Saccharomyces cerevisiae S288C: one gene and its partners. Changing the gene in region 2 together with the main gene of any one other region gives a genetic interaction. Each region holds a gene or a part of one and is shown on either strand. Other genes may lie near its edges.

Evidence for each region.
Region 1: mutations in ATG16 (region 2) and MUP1 together harm fitness more than expected from each alone (negative genetic interaction), as found in Saccharomyces cerevisiae (2 studies listed by BioGRID).
Region 3: mutations in ATG16 (region 2) and YOL057W together harm fitness more than expected from each alone (negative genetic interaction), as found in Saccharomyces cerevisiae (2 studies listed by BioGRID).
Region 4: of ATG16 (region 2) and ATG15, changing one suppresses a phenotype caused by changing the other (phenotypic suppression), as found in Saccharomyces cerevisiae (one study listed by BioGRID).

The regions. Positions count from the first base shown.
Region 1 is NC_001139.9:596,805-602,123, forward strand, and holds MUP1 (Mup1p), read left to right. Parts: upstream 1-2,612; coding exon 2,613-4,337; downstream 4,338-5,319. Other genes in the region: YGR054W (translation initiation factor 2A), read left to right, coding at 1-1,817; RSC subunit protein RSC1, read left to right, coding at 4,857-5,319. UniProt on the Saccharomyces cerevisiae protein: High affinity permease for methionine.
Region 2 is NC_001145.3:573,311-577,384, reverse strand, and holds ATG16 (Atg16p), read left to right. Parts: upstream 1-2,456; coding exon 2,457-2,909; downstream 2,910-4,074. Other genes in the region: CVM1 (Cvm1p), read right to left, coding at 1-2,319; YMR158C-A (uncharacterized protein), read left to right, coding at 4,054-4,074. UniProt on the Saccharomyces cerevisiae protein: Stabilizes the ATG5-ATG12 conjugate and mediates the formation of the 350 kDa complex, which is necessary for autophagy.
Region 3 is NC_001147.6:218,999-224,211, forward strand, and holds YOL057W (dipeptidyl-peptidase III), read left to right. Parts: upstream 1-1,768; coding exon 1,769-3,904; downstream 3,905-5,213. Other genes in the region: ARG1 (argininosuccinate synthase), read left to right, coding at 213-1,475; phosphoglycerate mutase family protein GPM3, read left to right, coding at 4,270-5,181.
Region 4 is NC_001135.5:234,742-239,705, forward strand, and holds ATG15 (triglyceride lipase ATG15), read left to right. Parts: upstream 1-2,472; coding exon 2,473-4,035; downstream 4,036-4,964. Other genes in the region: GTPase-activating protein SED4, read right to left, coding at 1-1,581; peptidylprolyl isomerase family protein CPR4, read left to right, coding at 4,314-4,964. UniProt on the Saccharomyces cerevisiae protein: Lipase which is essential for lysis of subvacuolar cytoplasm to vacuole targeted bodies and intravacuolar autophagic bodies. Involved in the lysis of intravacuolar multivesicular body (MVB) vesicles.

The DNA of each region.
Region 1 (5,319 bases), on a different chromosome or scaffold from region 2:
TTTTATCGCCATGTGGCAGATTTTTGGCTTTATCTACGAAGGAGAACGTCAAAGTTTTTACAGGTCCATGTTTGGATAACGTTCTATTAACAATGAAGTTGTCCGACGTCTATGACCTACACTTCTCTCCAGCAGGTAACTACTTAAGCACTTGGGAGAGAGCGTCTATACAAGACCCAAATCACAAGAACGTTAAAGTTTGGTATTTGAATAAACCATTTAAGAAAGATTGCGTTTCGGAGGATATAGTCCCTGCTTACGAATATCAAGCCAAATCCCAAAGCGGTTGGTTTTTACAATTCTCCAAATTAGACAATTATGGGCTAAGACTTTTTAAACACGACTTGAAGATTGTTAAATTAAGCTCCGCTAATGCCGACAATTTCGACTTCCAATCTCCGTTTGCTGTCTTGTCTGATGATGAAACGTCCCAACATTTCACCACCTACCTAATCTCTCCAGCTGAACATCCAACAATTTGTACTTTCACACCAGAAAAGGGTGGTAAACCGGCTCAATTAATCATATGGGCCCTCTCTGAAGGTAAAATCACCAAGAAAATTGCCTCCAAAACTTTCTTTAAAGCTGATTCCTGCCAATTGAAATGGAATCCATTAGGTAATGCTATTTTATGTTTAGCTATTACTGATTTTGATTCCTCAAACAAATCATATTATGGTGAAAACACACTATACTTACTGTCTTTCCAAGGTGTCAACGGGACTTTGGGTGGTAACTCTGTACGTGTTTCTTTAACCACTGGACCTGTCCACGATTTCACTTGGTCGCCAACTTCAAGGCAATTCGGTGTCATCGCTGGTTACATGCCAGCAACCATTTCCTTTTTTGACTTAAGAGGTAATGTTGTCCATTCATTACCTCAACAAGCCAAAAATACCATGCTTTTCTCTCCCTCTGGTCATTACATTCTTATCGCCGGGTTTGGTAATTTACAGGGCTCCGTGGAAATCCTAGATCGTCTCGACAAATTCAAGTGTGTGAGTAAATTTGACGCTACCAACACTTCTGTCTGCAAATGGTCACCGGGTGGAGAATTTATCATGACAGCTACCACTTCACCAAGATTGAGAGTGGATAACGGCGTTAAAATATGGCATGTATCAGGCTCTTTAGTATTTGTTAAAGAGTTCAAGGAGCTTTTGAAGGTAGACTGGAGGTCACCATGTAATTACAAAACTTTGGAAAACAAAGACGAAGCATTTTTCGAGAACCATATCATTAATAACTGGGAACCGCTACCTGATTCGACCACATCTTCACTTGATCCTAAAATATCCAATAAATCAGAATTGCAAATACATTCTAGCGTTCAAGAGTACATAAGTCAACACCCAAGCAGAGAAGCAAGCTCCAATGGAAACGGATCTAAGGCCAAAGCTGGAGGCGCTTATAAACCACCTCACGCAAGAAGAACAGGCGGTGGACGTATTGTCCCCGGAGTTCCTCCTGGTGCAGCAAAGAAGACCATCCCAGGGCTAGTTCCGGGCATGAGTGCCAACAAGGACGCCAACACCAAGAACAGGAGAAGAAGAGCCAATAAAAAGTCAAGTGAAACGTCACCTGATTCTACTCCGGCCCCATCTGCTCCTGCCTCCACAAATGCCCCCACAAACAATAAAGAAACTTCTCCAGAGGAGAAGAAAATAAGATCTTTACTAAAGAAATTAAGGGCTATTGAAACCTTGAAGGAAAGACAGGCCGTCGGTGACAAACTAGAAGATACGCAAGTTCTAAAAATTCAAACTGAAGAAAAAGTGTTGAAAGATTTGGAAAAGTTGGGTTGGAAGGATGAATAAACTAGAAGAAACTGATGTATCCATACAACTGTGTAAATATTAACAACGTCAAATAATACTACTTTGAATTGTTTTTTACTGTTTCCCAGGAGAATTACGCCAACCTCCCCCCTTTCTTTTTTTCCCTTGTTTTATTGTACTTTTCCACATATTTTTTTAACATCAAATAGTAATTGATACATACATAATTAGTGAGCATTTTCCTTATTTTTACGTCTCTTCTTGGCGGATTGCCACCAGCCGCATCTTACAATGTATGCCACGATACCGCCAGGCAATAAATGAATATGGAGTGTCACTTCGGCTCCGTAAGCCGGCGCTGCATCCGCCACCACAGTTTTTTTTAGCGTCGCTGTCGCCGCTTTGCCACAGAAAAAGAAAAAAAAAAAAGAAACGGCGCCGTGTAGGGTTTTGTATAACAGATCGGCCTAGCAGCCAGGAGATGGCACGGCGCCAACTGAAAAGTTAGACTGTGGAATTGCCGTTCACCACACTCGAGTGGCATCTAATAAACTGCCACAGTTGACTCAAGCGGTGCTACCTTCGCAGTTATTGCACACCATGGTAACACATAACACAGTCTTGCATTACAAATGTGGTTCCTCCTACTTGGCGGTGAATTTCTTGAGTCAGCCCGTTATTTTCATATGGTGATGTAAGATTACATACAGTATATATATATAAGGATGATTCTCACACAAACTTTTCCGCTGTTCATCATATTTTGTTTTTGGATTAGTTTCACATTCTGTAGAAATCTTTAAAGACAAGAGAAGAGAAAACAAAGGCGGAGCAATGTCGGAAGGAAGAACGTTTCTGTCACAGTTGAATGTCTTCAACAAGGAGAACTATCAATTTTCTTCTTCTACTACAAAAAAGGAAGTAAGTAACTCGACAGTGGATGCTGACAACGGTGCCTCCGATTTTGAGGCAGGCCAGCAATTTGCTACAGAATTGGACCAAGGTGAAAAGCAGTTAGGTATTTTGTCGTGTATTGGGCTTATCTGTAATAGAATGCTTGGTACCGGTGTTTTCGCCGTTTCCTCGACCATTTACACACTATGTGGGTCTGTGGGGCTTGCATTAATTATGTGGGCAGTTGGCGCCATTATTGCCATTTCTGGGTTATATGTATACATGGAATTCGGTACGGCTATACCGAAAAATGGTGGTGAAAAAAACTACCTGGAGGCTATTTTCAGGAAACCAAAATTCTTCATTACCTGTATGTATGCTGCGTATATTTTCTTCCTAGGTTGGGCTGCTGGTAATTCCATCAATACAGCTATTATGTTTTTAACTGCTGCTGATACTGAAGTGACCAAATGGAATCAAAGAGGTATTGGTGTGGCCGTCGTTTTTTTTGCATTCCTAATTAATTCTCTGAATGTCAAGATTGGTCTATATTTGCAAAACATTTTAGGTATTTTCAAGATTGGTATTGTCCTCTTCATTTCTATTACCGGTTGGGTTGCCCTTGGCGGTGGTCTCAAAGATGGTTATCAATCTCACAACTTTCGTAATGCTTTTGAAGGTACTGAAACCGCCACTGCTTATGGTATTGTTAACGCCTTATATAGTGTTATTTGGTCGTTTGTCGGTTACTCCAATGTTAACTATGCACTTGGTGAAGTTAAGAACCCTGTGAGAACTTTGAAGATTGCTGGTCCTACATCGATGGTCTTCTTGGCTATAATCTACATTTTTGTGAACATTGCTTACTTCGCTGTGGTTCCAAAAGATAAGTTAATTTCTTCAAAATTGATTTTAGCTGCTGACTTCTTCGATATTGTGTTTGGCGGCCAAGCCAAGAGAGCAGCAGCCGCACTGGTCGGGTTGAGTGCCTTAGGAAATGTTCTTTCTGTCATTTTTTCTCAGGGTAGAATTATTCAACAACTAGGACGTGAAGGTGTGTTGCCCTTTTCTAATTTCTTTGCCTCTTCTAAGCCATTCAACTCCCCAATGGTTGGTTTGTTTCAACATTTTATTGTTTGTACAGTAACCATTTTAGCCCCACCTCCAGGTGATGCATATTTGCTAGTCCAAAATTTAATTTCCTACCCAATGAATATTATTAATTTTGCCATTAGCGCGGGTTTGCTTTGGATATACTGGCAACGTAGACAAGGTAAAATTGAATGGAACCCACCAATTAAGGCCGGTGTTTTTGTTACGGGATTTTTCACATTATCCAATTTATACCTGATTATTGCTCCTTACGTTCCACCTTCAAATGGCGAGTCGGTGTATTCAAGCATGCCATACTGGATCCACTGTGTAATTGCTTGGGGTATTTTCTTCTTTGGTGGTGTTTACTACGTTGTTTGGGCCCAATTATTGCCAAGATGGGGCCACTACAAATTGGTTTCCAAGGATGTGCTTGGTGAAGATGGGTTCTGGAGAGTCAAAATTGCCAAAGTTTATGATGACACTATTGGCGATGTCGATACACAAGAAGACGGCGTTATTGAAACGAATATAATCGAACATTACAAAAGTGAACAAGAAAAATCGCTGTAACCAAAAAGGTACTTACCATCTCATCTCGATTCTTATAATCACGTATGAACATTCTTATAATTGCATTTTCTTTATACAAAATATATAGGTACCAAACCTCATTATAATTTCTGCCATTTAATAGTTTAAGATGCTATTCCGTTTCGTATTTTTTCAATTTTTATACCTACTATTGCGCGAAATCAAAATAGCATACTAAGAAAAAGCAATATCATGAATTGCTGATGAGATAGATTCAAATTGGAATTAACTAAATCTATCAGCAACGCTATAAACACAGATAAGCGCTCTATAAAATCGTTTGTCTAACGTTTTATATAGTTCTTTATTGCTCCCTTACCCTCTTTCCGTCAATAGTGATTGTTGTCTCGGGAAAGCTTTTTTTTTTATTAATCAAAGGCCCAATTGAGTTACAACTGAAATTAAGCTGAGTTGGCGGAACAGTGTGGTATTAGCGAAGGGAAAATCTGTGAAGTGCCCTAGCTACAAAACAGAGATAAAAAAAATTATATTTCAAGCATGGTGGAGCAAGATAATGGGTTTTTACAGAAGCTACTCAAAACACAATACGATGCTGTCTTCCATTTAAAGGATGAAAATGGTATAGAAATATATCCAATATTCAATGTACTGCCACCTAAAAAAGAATATCCAGACTATTACATTATAATAAGGAATCCGATATCTTTAAACACTTTAAAGAAACGATTGCCCCATTATACATCGCCACAAGATTTTGTTAACGATTTTGCGCAAATTCCTTGGAATGCAATGACATACAATGCAAAAGATTCAGTAATTTACAAATATGCCATTCTTCTTGAGTCTTTTATTAAAGGAAAGATCGTGCACAATATAAGAAAACATTATCCCGAGGTGACATATCCATCTCTAGGTCGAATTCCGGAAATATTCGCAGAGAGTATGCAACCCTCCGATTTATCCTCGAACCCCATTAATACACAGGAAAATGATGAAAAGG
Region 2 (4,074 bases):
TAATCTTCTCAAAGCTTCCACGGTGTCCCTCTGAAAAACAGGGCCAGAAGTACTCGTGGTACTATCCAAGAAGCAGTTTAATGAGATGGAGAGCCTCAACGCATGTGGTATCTCTCGCTGCGGTAAATTTTTCAATTGAATCAATTTGGAGAAGGAATCATGAATTTTCCATACCAAATCATATTGATTGACAGTATTCAATATGCTTGTAGGAGTGTCGAGGTCGATGTTTAAACGTAAATGCTTACGACTTAATGGGTTTTTCGTGAATATTGTATTGTACAGAAAGCATTTATAGACTTTATCGTCATCATAAATGTCTGAATATATCCTTACGAAATCCGAAGATTTTTCGTTTTGATACTGCACAAACTGCAAAAAATCCTTTACCGTAGAAATATTCTCTGGCAATAATGATTCCGATGATGAACCGAGACTTTCACCCTCCCTTTGGTCGTAATTGAGTTGATGACCATTCATTTTCCACTTACTGTCCATTTCTTGAAGCCAGATTTTGTTGCTGTTCTGGTACTGTTTCCTAATATTTGGAGGCAATGTGTAATCATTAAATGACCTTGAAATAAAAAAAGGACTTAGTAAATTAATTATGGGAATAAATTGTTTATATCCTAAATTCTCCGTTATCATCAAAATATCCCATAAGGTTATTTCGAAAAGTCTGTTGGTGGGAATCTTCAATCTCGATTCAAAATTAGGGGTCCTTACATGGACGTCATTAATGTTACTAGTTGCTTCATCATCGGTATCAAGGTTTAAATTATTAGCATTCTTTAAATCAATGCCCATGTACTTCCCATTGCACCATAAATTTCTCAAGATTTTAGGGTGATTATAATCTATAGCAAGTTTTTCTGAAATTGTCATAAAATTATCATAAAGCTTACCAAAAAATGTCAGTCGAAACGTATCCCAATTGAACAAGAGCCAATCCAATGCATCCTGAACTAGTTTAGATTCACTAGAATCTATCCGCCTATAATTTTTGATTTTAGATAATGTGTCTTGTTGCTTTTTGTCAATGCCCTGAAATAACTGTTTTTCTTTGATTTGTTGGCTCTTCGTTGTGAAATCATTATTTGAATCATGATCATTACTATCATTTTCGTTAGTACTGGAATTGGAACCCAAGTTATTATAACTATTGCTAGTAAAGTCAGTGCTGTGGTCCCAAAATCGATAGCCTTGTAAACATGACTGGAAACTCAATACACTCACTGTAGTGTTTTCATCAAACTCTAGAACTTCATTATTTTGCACGATATATTTCGCTAATAGCAAAGTTAAGGGAACGCTGTGATAAACGCCCACAAAAAAAATTGAATCTACCTCTTTGAAAAGATGAGCCCAGTGGTTCAGTAACTCTACACATTCTTTATATGTAGGTATTAAATCTTGATTATGCAGTGGGCACTGGAACGATAGGGTCAAGACTCTTTGAGGTTGTTCTTGCGCTAGATTTTGTGACAATTTTCTAGAAAGATAATAAGCCGATCTTTGTGATTCTAATGAGCGCTGCTCATACTTTTCTGGTAAATCCCCCACGACGGATATTATAATAATTCTCTTATCCTTCAGTAATGCGGTTTTTTTTTGTCTTAAATAGAGATGTTGCTCATTAGGGAAGTTATAGTAATTTTTGATAGTATTCAATACCTTAGTTCTTAGTGGTTGGACGTGCAGAAAATTCAAAGGGTTATCTGATGGTAGGATTAAAGAATCATTAATAAATACATTATACCCAGGGTTACCTCCCTCCCCAGGATATTTGTTTAATGGCAATGGGCATTTGGCTGATCCTGTACCAGAGACACTGATTATTCCTGGGGTATCTATGGAATCAATTATGTTTGATGAATTTGATATATGTGGAATTGCTTCGTACCAACACCATGATTTCGACTTTTTTGAAATTATATCCTTAGCCTCATTTTCCAAGAAGTTGATTTGTTCAGTGTTTAGTTGAGAGTAGCGGGTATTATCATCAACAACAATTGGGGCACTTCTATATCTGGATGTTGCAAAAGAAGCGATTTTAGACCATATCCCTTTATTGTCATTATTCGAGTTCACGCTATCTTGAAAATCCGTTGTCGGACTACTCCTTCCTTGTCCATTAGGATATTCTGCAATTCTTCCCGTGTTTGGCTCATCGTCGGCAGTGGAATTCCACCAGGGTTTCCATCTGTTTTGTTGTCGTGGACGTTGGGGTGGGACTTCCTGCTGGTCCTCTCGTATCTGCTGCTGCTCTTGTGTTTGATGCTGCAACTGTTTATCCTGTTTCTGCTGCACAACATCCATTATAATAGCGTTTTATATGTTGTGCTAAATTGCTACTACACTTGCTCGCTTTTACTTATTCTGTTTGTAGTTGACCTTTATTTAACGTTGATTTTTGTTATTAACCTGCGCGAATCTGTATTAAGGGCGCATATTCCATGGGCAATTTCATTATAACAGAAAGGAAGAAAGCAAAGGAGGAAAGAAGCAATCCACAAACAGATAGCATGGATGATTTGTTAATTCGTAGACTAACAGATCGAAACGACAAGGAGGCCCATTTAAATGAGTTGTTTCAAGATAATAGTGGCGCCATTGGTGGCAACATTGTCAGCCATGACGATGCTTTATTGAATACACTGGCAATTCTACAAAAAGAACTGAAAAGTAAGGAGCAAGAAATACGAAGATTGAAAGAAGTTATTGCGTTGAAAAATAAGAATACGGAAAGGTTGAATGACGAATTGATTAGTGGAACCATTGAAAATAATGTTTTACAACAAAAACTCTCGGATCTGAAAAAAGAACATTCCCAGCTAGTTGCGAGATGGCTAAAAAAGACAGAGAAAGAGACAGAAGCCATGAACAGCGAAATAGATGGAACGAAATGATGCATCAGTTGTCAAATCGTCACAAAATGCATACAAAAGAAAATAAAATCATTGTGGTGCATATACATGGACAGAATATGAAACGCCAAAGTGTTTGCAATAAAGAGGTGAAAATATGTTAAACATGCTATAGAGAGTACACCTGCAAGTTAAGAAAATGCCATTCGTGTTTTTATCTACTATAATGTAATGTGACAGCTGTTTTAAACCTTTCTTAAGGTCGTTTGTGCGAGAACAGGCTTTTTTTTTGGAGAATGTATCTTGAGAGAAACTCAATAGTAATAACTGGATGCATAAAGAAAATTTCATATGAATCACTACAAATCTTTGGCGTTAGAATTCTATTGGGTAAATTGAACTTTGTAGCTTTTTGATGGTAAACTTGGCGGTTTTGCGCGACCCATGATCCTAAGAAACCCGCAGTTTCTATTAGGATTCACGATGGTCTTTATCTCACCTTCTATTATGTGTAAGTTGAAATGCCCCTTGCTGTTCTTATAGCAGAAAGCTTTTTTTTTCATTTATAGGACTAGCATTTTGGCATTGGAAGGGAAAAAATCATGCTTTCATTGAAAAATGAAAAGAAACATATCGTTATTTTGTGGGAACACTGAAGTATAATTTTTTGTTTCGGAAATTTACCATTGCATAGTGGGTATTTTCATCGAAAGTTGGCTAAAGAATGCATGCGGCCTGTTCATTCTGGTTATGAGCATTTCAATTGGTTAGTATATTGGCGTGAGTGGAAAGAATAGTGGATAAAAACTAAGAGACCCGTTCATTCTCCTGATACGATCTTGCGGTAAACCTTATATTTTTGGGGAGGGTACTGTAATATCTCATAACTCCGCGTATTATTGTGGATGTAACTTGTTGCTGATCCTCTCGCTGAGGCCATCATTATACGTGAGTCGAAGGATGGCCGAAATTTTATGATACTACACCGAAATTAAACCGTCGTCTAATTTAAGATGGCTGAAATGCAAAAACCTGGTTCTTTAAGTGGAAAATAGAAGACTAAATGGTTTCATTGCTATTTATGGTGCAAGAAGATGGCTTAAAGATTAAGAAGCATTAATCAGATTTAATGGAAGCTGAAGTGCAAAGGTTGATTATGTAGCGATCTCTAACGACAATTGTTGGAATGAAAATGAACTATCATCTA
Region 3 (5,213 bases), on a different chromosome or scaffold from region 2:
TAGCGGCAGATAGTGTAATCTGAGCAGTTGCGAGACCCAGACTGGCACTGTCTCAATAGTATATTAATGGGCATACATTCGTACTCCCTTGTTCTTGCCCACAGTTCTCTCTCTCTTTACTTCTTGTATCTTGTCTCCCCATTGTGCAGCGATAAGGAACATTGTTCTAATATACACGGATACAAAAGAAATACACATAATTGCATAAAATAATGTCTAAGGGAAAAGTTTGTTTGGCTTATTCTGGTGGTTTAGATACCTCCGTCATTTTGGCTTGGCTACTAGACCAAGGCTACGAAGTTGTAGCTTTCATGGCTAATGTAGGGCAAGAAGAAGATTTCGATGCCGCCAAGGAAAAGGCCTTGAAGATCGGTGCCTGCAAGTTCGTTTGTGTGGATTGTCGTGAAGATTTTGTCAAGGATATTCTATTCCCAGCTGTACAGGTCAACGCTGTGTACGAAGACGTTTATCTGTTGGGTACCTCTTTGGCAAGACCTGTTATTGCCAAAGCCCAAATTGACGTCGCTAAACAGGAGGGCTGTTTCGCGGTCTCTCATGGTTGTACCGGTAAAGGTAATGATCAAATCAGATTCGAATTGTCATTTTACGCTCTGAAGCCAGACGTTAAGTGTATTACACCATGGAGAATGCCTGAATTTTTCGAAAGATTTGCTGGCAGAAAGGATTTGTTAGACTATGCTGCACAAAAGGGTATTCCCGTCGCCCAAACCAAGGCCAAGCCATGGTCTACTGACGAAAACCAAGCCCACATTTCTTACGAGGCAGGTATCTTGGAAGACCCAGATACCACCCCACCAAAGGACATGTGGAAATTGATCGTCGATCCAATGGATGCTCCGGACCAACCACAAGATTTGACCATTGACTTTGAACGTGGTCTTCCAGTCAAGTTGACCTACACCGACAACAAGACTTCCAAGGAAGTTTCCGTTACCAAGCCTTTGGATGTTTTCTTGGCCGCATCCAACTTAGCAAGGGCCAACGGTGTTGGTAGAATCGATATTGTAGAAGATCGTTACATTAACTTGAAATCCAGAGGTTGTTACGAACAGGCTCCATTGACTGTTTTGAGAAAAGCTCATGTTGATTTGGAAGGTTTGACTTTAGACAAAGAAGTCCGTCAATTGAGAGACTCATTCGTCACACCAAACTACTCCAGATTGATATATAACGGTTCCTACTTCACCCCAGAGTGTGAGTACATCAGATCTATGATCCAACCATCCCAAAATAGCGTTAACGGTACTGTCAGGGTTAGACTGTATAAGGGTAACGTCATCATTCTGGGCAGATCTACAAAGACTGAAAAGTTGTACGATCCGACAGAATCCTCTATGGATGAGTTGACCGGTTTCTTACCTACCGATACCACCGGTTTCATTGCCATCCAGGCCATTAGAATTAAAAAATACGGTGAATCCAAAAAAACCAAAGGTGAAGAGTTGACTTTGTAAGTCCGCTAGTTCATCGCCTCAAGATAGATAACGATCTCTTCCTCCACCTCCTATTTCTGCACACTCTTGTGATGTAAATACATATGTAGACATATGTAAGCTTTTGTATAAATAGTTTAAGAAAGCATCATACCAATTTTGAATAGAAGAAAAAATAGCTAAGAGCATAGCCGCTCGGAATAAGTTGACGTAGCGAAAAATCCCAATATCGTAAAGGAAAAATACCTTCATGAGAACAGAACATTGAAAAGAAGAAAAAAAAAACTGAGCACTGCACCATTAAGTCCTCAAAGATGAGCCACTTTTTCGCCGATCATGATGCTCCTCTGAGCATGCTTTCTGTTAAAACAGAATACTTTCCTCAATTGACTGATAAGGAACAAAAATATGCGCATTTCATGTCAAAGGCCTCCCATGCGGGTTCAAGGGTTGTAATGAGACAAGTTTCTCATGAGAGTGAGCCAATTTTTGACCTAATCCTTGCCATTCATTCAAAGCTAAACGGCAAGTACCCAGAGGACGATATTACGCAGAAGCAGCAAACGGGTTTGTATTTGGAATACGTTTCTCAATTCTTATCTAATTTGGGTAATTTCAAATCGTTTGGTGACACTAAGTTTATTCCTCGTTGTGAGGTAAAATTCTTCAAACAGCTTTTGGAGCTGGCCAAGATTAATCCGTGTTCTTCTCCGCTCACTTTATCTCCTGTTGACGTTAACCATGAATTCACATCTCATCATCTTTTTTCCACCATCAATGAGCTAATTGATATTGGTATTTACCATGTGGAAGAGAAGGCGGCTCTCTTAGGGTTTCCCTCTCAAGGTTATACTTCAGCCTATTATCTGGGTTTACCTGTGACACCTGAAGATATGGCTCTTTTGAAAGAGCAGTTGTTTGCTGAACTTGCCATCTTGCCTGAAAACACAAGAATCAACAAAGTTGGTGAAAACAGTTTCCAAATCTGGGTTGCCTCTGAGAATGTGAAAAACCAGATAACAGAAACCTACCCCAGTGGACAGATCACATTATCCAATGCTGTAACCAAAGTAGAATTCATTTTTGGTGATCATTCACGTGAAATGCGTTTAGTAGCATCGTATTTAAAGGAAGCTCAAAAATTCGCGGCTAATGATACTCAAAAAGCAATGCTTCAGGAATACATCAACCACTTTGTCACTGGCTCTTCTCAAGCACATAAAGAAGCACAAAAACTTTGGGTCAAAGATATATCTCCCGTCATTGAAACAAATATCGGTTTTATCGAAACATATAGAGAACCCTCGGGCATAATTGGAGAATTTGAATCGTTGGTTGCAATTCAAAACAAAGAACGTACTGCTAAATTTTCCAGCTTGGTTAACAACGCAGAAGAATTCATTTCCTTACTACCATGGTCTAAAGATTACGAAAAACCGATTTTCAATCCACCAGATTTCACCTCTCTAGAAGTATTAACGTTTACTGGATCGGGTATACCAGCGGGCATCAATATTCCAAACTATGATGATGTTCGGCTTAAAATTGGGTTCAAGAATGTTTCTTTGGGGAATATCTTAAGCGCGGCTGCCAAAAGCTCATCCAAGCATCCGCCAAGTTTTATATCGCAAGAAGATCGCCCAATTTTTGAAAAATATCAAAGTGATTCTTTTGAAGTCCAAGTAGGCATCCATGAATTATTAGGACATGGTTCAGGAAAGTTGTTGACAGAATTTACAGACGGCTTTAATTTTGATAAGGAAAACCCTCCTTTAGGTTTGGATGGGAAACCGGTGAGCACATACTACAAAGTTGGTGAAACTTGGGGTTCCAAATTTGGACAGTTAGCTGGCCCATTTGAAGAATGTCGTGCGGAAGTAATTGCCATGTTTTTGCTTACTAATAAGAAGATTCTTGATATTTTTGGTTTCCATGATGTCGAATCTCAAGATAAAGTGATCTACGCTGGATATCTACAAATGGCCCGTGCGGGTCTCCTAGCTTTAGAATACTGGAATCCAAAAACTGGTAAGTGGGGACAACCACACATGCAAGCAAGATTTTCTATCATGAAAACATTTATGAAGCACTCTACAGATAAGAATTTCTTAAAGTTGGAGATGAACAGCACGAATGATGATTTTGCCATCAAGTTGGATAAATCTCTCATTAAAACAGCGGGACATGAATGTGTGAAAGACTATTTAAAGCATTTGCATGTTTACAAATGTTCAGGCGATGTGGAACAGGGAAGTAAGTACTTTATTGATAGATCAACGGTGACACCGGATTTGGCGTCTTTAAGAGACATCGTCTTATCTAAGAGATTGCCAAGGAGACAATTCATACAATCGAATTCTTATATTGACGACAATAACAAGGTAACCCTGAAAGAATATGATGAAACCCCACAGGGTATGCTCCAATCTTTCCTTGATAGAGAATTATGATGTCCTTAAGAGCACACGTTTTAATTAGCAACCTTTGCTGTTGCTTTTGTTCAAGCTATTAGATTATGTAAACAGATATATATTATGTAAGTGTGACAGGATACGACAGCACTAACTGTCAGCGAATTTTGATTTGTTACTTTTGCTAGTTTTGTGTGACTTTCCTTTGTTTTTTAACTTTTTTTTTCAGATTTGTATTATGAGATGATAACAATGCGAGATTTCATTGACAAGTTCGATAAAACAATAGAAGCTTCCATTTTATACATATGTGATAAAACAACCTGCAATCGAGGATTTACAATAAAAGTCTCTTTGAGAGGATTGAGAAATAGTGCAAAAAGATCTACTAATAACGAATAGTTATGACTGTTACTGACACTTTTAAACTGTTTATTTTAAGGCATGGTCAAAGTGAATTAAACTCAGAAAACATATTCTGCGGATGGATTGATGCTCAATTAACGGAAAAAGGGAAGTCTCAGGCCCGCCACTCTGCAAAATTGATCAAGCAGTTTTGCGATTCTAACAATATCTCTTTGCCTCAGATTGGCTATACTTCAAGGTTGATTCGAACTCAGCAGACCATGGACGTTATTCTCGAAGAGTTGGGACTAAAACACACCAATTATGTAATTACTACGAATACAAACATTAAGGAGGAGCTGCAGGACACAAGATTTGAAGGAAGTATGCCTGTGTTGCAAACCTGGAGGTTAAATGAGCGTCATTACGGCGCATGGCAAGGACAAAGAAAGCCAGATATCTTGAAAGAATACGGTAAGGAAAAATACATGTATATCAGAAGAGATTACAACGGAAAACCCCCTAAAGTCAACCTAAACCTGGAAATGGTCCAAGAGGAAAATGATCAGGGGTCCTCCACAGGCTATGATTTTAAGGAGCCCAATAGACACTTAAAATACGGCCCCGAAGAGAAGGCTAATGAGCGTCTGCCAGAAAGTGAGTCTCTTTGTGAAGTGGTCGTCAGATTGAAACCATTTTTAAATAATGTTGTTCTGTCTACCGCCAACAAAATCAGTCAAGAATCGTGTGTTATAGTTGGGCATGGCAGCTCTGTAAGATCTCTGCTGAAAGTATTGGAAGGTATCTCAGATGAAGACATCAAAGATGTCGATATTCCCAACGGCATTCCGCTAGTTATAGAGTTGGATAGAGACAATTACTCTTTTGTGAGGAAATTTTACTTGGATCCAGAATCAGCTAAAGTTAATGCTCAAATGGTTCGTGATGAGGGTTTCGAAAAGAATCCATGAATAGTTTTTAAAAATAAAAAATTAGCGCCATT
Region 4 (4,964 bases), on a different chromosome or scaffold from region 2:
TGAAGATGAGGATAACAAATCTATCGACTCTGAATTCAGTGGAAGCGATGGTTTTTCGACAATATTCGGTTCTGTAGGAGAGGCTAGCGGCTTCGTAATTTCAGAGGTAGGTGAAGACACAATTGGTTCATTAGTGACACTCTCTTCATAGAAAGAAGAAGAAGAAGAAGAAGAAGAAGAAGAAGCTGATGTTGGGATATCTGCAGAAGTGAATTGTGAATCAGCTGATGACGATATCCAAACAAATTTTTGCTCATCTTCTGTGGTGGTTCTCATAGTGCTAGTGTCAAATGAGGAAAATTCAGTCTCTATATCGCTAGCAACATCTGTAGCGCTGATGATATCTGCACTTTCAGTAATGCCTCTGTAATCGTCATTAATAGTGAAATAAGAAGAAGATCCTTGGTCTATGGTAGTGTTTTCCTTGAATTTCGACTTATATATATCATGAGCATGTTTGTAAATAAAGCCGTGCACATTATGTTTGTAGCCTAGTTGAATAGCGCCAGCCAAAACCACTAACAAAACAAAATTCAAGAAAAATTTCCAAATATTTCGTAAAATTGATGACGATGTACCGGAAAGCTTCAGAACGTTGATCGTGTTCCCCATAGAAGTGCTTGCCAAATATCTAGAATCTGGAGAAAAAGTAACTTTTGTTATAGTAGATTCATGTACTCTTGGAACCAACTGAACAAGCTTTAGCTTTTCAACGCTGACGATGGCAACCAAGTTATCGTTAGATGATAATGCAACGAACTTCTTATTTGGGGAGACATCCATCGATGTTATTCCATTCAAATCGAACATGAAGGATGCTGTTTTTAAAATTTTAACACCTTTGGAACTCACACCTAGTTTTAACAAGGAAACTCCATCAGAGTTCGATAATGATGCTGCCACTAATAGCGTATTGTCATTGAGAAACCTGATATTAGAAAGAACAAGATTTTTATCAAAATCCGTTTTCCTTGCTACAAAATTTCCGTCCCTAACAGACGCTACTTCCAAAGAATTAGAAGTGATATATGACAAAAGAATACCGTTAGGGGCGAAGTGCAAATCATTAACTTCCCTACCCGTTTCAATTTCGTAATTTTCCGTCAAATTACGCGGGTCAATGATTCTTATCACAGTGGGCACTTCAGAGGACGCAATTGCAGCTACTGTGGCCCTTTGATTAATGTAAACAAACTTAGTGAAAACGGATGGGTCTGTAGTTCTGTTGAAATCAATACTGGCCACGAATTTTAGATGTTCTTGTTCAAACACAAACTTCCTCAAGTGGTGGTTAACGTTCTCCATGGAGGAATCATTAAACAGTTCATTGCAACCAACTAGAATCAGGTTATTATTACAATCCAATGAAGTGGGCGCATCGTCAATCGAATCTAATGTGATCTCACGAAACCTTCTAATGTGTTTCTTTTTCTGGAAGTTCACCTTTAAAGCTGTAATTTTGTTTGGAAACGAGGAATTGAACTGGCCTCCACCACCAGCCACCAGTAGAGTGCCTTCATTTATAAATTTAGCACCATATATCGGATATCCGACGTCATAGTTTGCAGAGTTGCCACTCATTATTATGCTAGTTTTTCTAAGTTTAAAAGGAGAGAAAAAAAAGGAAGAGAGGACGTATCGTAGGGAATTGTGATGCTTGTTGACAAACAGCCTCCGTCGATCGAAGCAGCTATAAGCGTAGGTTACTTGAAGCGTTCACAGTTCTCATTTACACTGTACAATTCTCGAGATATAAATGAAAATTACTACAACCAAGAAAAAAGGACAGGAGGGCTAAAAGGATAATAAAATAGGGCAGTTACAAATGTGGTCAAAAATACTAGGGCTCAAAATTGCTAAGTAAGGGCTTGACAGATGTAACATAATACGAAATAAACTGGATATCGTTTAATAATTATCAAGGTGATTTAAATCGTAAATACATAGGCTGGGCCATATACACTAACATGTGTCGTGACCAATGTGCAGCAGATAGACTTGCTCATTAAATATATTCCAGGTAGGATTCTCTAAGGGTTTTTTTTTTTCTCTATAGCTGTCACTTTTTTTTTTTTCTCTTATCAATCACAGATATAATAAGCATAACATCGGAAAGAAAATAATGATAGGGCAAAAGGGAAAGCATTTCCAGTTGAATACAGTATCTCTACTATATTGTTGTTCGCTGAAGACAGCCGTTTCCGGAAAAAAGTGATTGTGTGATCGCAGTTACCCGCACCTTTGTTCAACAGTACATAATAAGAATCTGTAGATATAGATGAACTTTCTCTATTACATAAGACTAGCCTAAAAGCCTTGTTTCTATCATTTAAAGGCTTTTGAGACACTCAAATCAGTGTCAACCTTTTGGATAAGTCAAAGAAAGTACGCCGCTGCTCAGAAAATTGTTATCGTGATTGAGAACTGATCTAGGCATTACAATTAAAGGAAACAAGGGAAATATTCTATTGAATGTTGCATAAAAGCCCTTCAAGAAAGAGATTTGCTTCTCCTTTGCATCTAGGATGCATTCTAACGCTTACAGTGCTCTGCCTTATTGCTTACTACTTTGCTTTACCGGATTATTTATCGGTAGGGAAGAGCTCATCCAGGGGTGCCATGGATCAAAAATCTGATGGAACCTTTAGACTTAAGTCTATCTACAGGCATGGCGTCGGAGCAAACCATCGGCTACACCAGAGGCTGGAGGTCACTCCAGAAGTTATTTCTGCCGCTGGAATGCTGTATCAAGAAACCACAACTCAAGGACAGGATTTCGAAGACCAAGAACCCCTATGGACTACTAATGCCGAATATGCCACCACTAACCCATTCGATTTTGAGTTTGAGCTACGAAGGATGCCGCTATTGATGAAGCGGATGAAGGAAAGAGATCCTGAATTCATAGAGTCGTACATTTACGGAGAAACATACATGACGGAGGAGGAAGAACACGCCATGTGGATAGATGATGACATTGTGGCACCCAATATCACAGATAGAGGTACAGTAGTGTCGTTAGCATTAATGTCGTCTAATGCTTACGTGAGAATACCGCAAACGGGAGACTGGCGTAACGTCACGGAGCCGTGGAATGAAACAGAGCCGGAAGATTTTGGTTGGGATGGTGATGGTATACGTGGTCACGTCTTTTACAATGAAGTGGAGAATATCGTGGTACTCTCGATAAAGGGAACCAGCGCTCAGGGTTTGCCAGGGTCTGGCGAAGATGAGACAACTGGAAACGACAAGATCAACGATAATTTGTTATTTTCGTGTTGTTGTGCAAGAGTGAGCTACCTGTGGACTACCGTGTGCGATTGCTATGTGAAGTCGTATATATGCGATGAGTCTTGCCTGGAAAAGGAACTGAGACGTAAGGATAGATTTTACTCTGCAGTCGTTGACATATACAAAGGCGTCCTCAAAGAATACCCCGATGCGGCCATATGGGTCACAGGCCACTCACTGGGAGGCGCATTGGCCAGTTTACTGGGCCGCACTTTTGGATTGCCTGCGGTCGCATTCGAGTCCCCTGGAGAGCTACTACCTTCAAAAAGACTTCACTTACCATTCCCACCGGGACTTCCCTCATACATGGAGGGTATCTGGCACTTCGGTCACAACGCAGACCCAATCTTCATGGGTACATGCAACGGAGCTAGTTCAAGTTGCTCACTGGTGGGCTACGCTATGGAAACCGCGTGCCACACTGGTAGAGTCTGTGTCTACGATGTGGTCAACGACAAGGGCTGGAGTGTAAACATGTTCAACCACAGAATCCACAAAGTCATTGACGAAGTTCTCCTTGGATACGAGCAGGCTGCCAAGTGCGTTGAACCAGAGCCCTGCGTAGATTGCTACAACTGGAAGTTTATTCCAAGCAGAGACTGGGAATCCTCATCGAGGCTCATTACCAAGACTAAAAGCCACGCTGCACCAACCACGACGACTCGCACCACTGCTACTACTACCTCTTCATCTACCTGTGTAGGCCGCAATTGGCTTGGCTTCTGCACCAAATACGAGTTGTAAGACCCATACATCTATTATGACCCTAGTGTTGTTTTAGGGCCTATGCGCCCTTTTTTTCTTCCATTGTCTGATAAATAATGTATCATTTTGACAACTTAAAGGTTCAGCTAAACGACACGAGAAGATATATTAATACTGCTTTAAAGTGAAAGGCGTCAGTCAGGTGCAATTAATAGGTCACATATTCTTTGCTTCAATTGCTCTCTAGCAAACTCACACACTCGTAGATTGGAAGACCGAAGAAAATAGATAGACTTTCGAATAAGTTCAGCAACAACATGTGGTTGAAATCCTTGCTGCTCTGCCTGTACTCCTTAGTACTCTGCCAAGTCCACGCTGCACCTTCATCAGGGAAGCAGATTACCTCCAAGGATGTTGATCTTCAGAAAAAATATGAGCCCAGTCCCCCCGCCACACATCGTGGAATAATCACTATCGAATACTTTGATCCCGTTTCGAAGTCGATGAAAGAGGCGGATCTGACTTTTGAGTTGTACGGTACTGTCGTGCCCAAAACTGTGAACAACTTTGCTATGCTGGCCCATGGTGTTAAGGCAGTTATCGAAGGGAAAGATCCCAATGATATACATACTTACTCGTACCGTAAGACCAAAATCAACAAGGTTTACCCTAACAAGTATATCCAGGGTGGTGTGGTTGCCCCAGATGTGGGTCCTTTCACCGTCTATGGGCCCAAATTTGATGACGAAAACTTTTACTTAAAACATGACAGGCCTGAAAGACTCGCAATGGCCTATTTTGGACCTGATTCTAACACCTCGGAATTCATCATCACCACTAAAGCCGATGGAAATGAGGAATTGGATGGCAAAAGTGTCGTGTTTGGTCAAATAACTTCTGGTCTAGATCAACTAATGGATGCTATTCAATACACAGAAACAGACGAATATGGAAAGCCTCAGCATGAA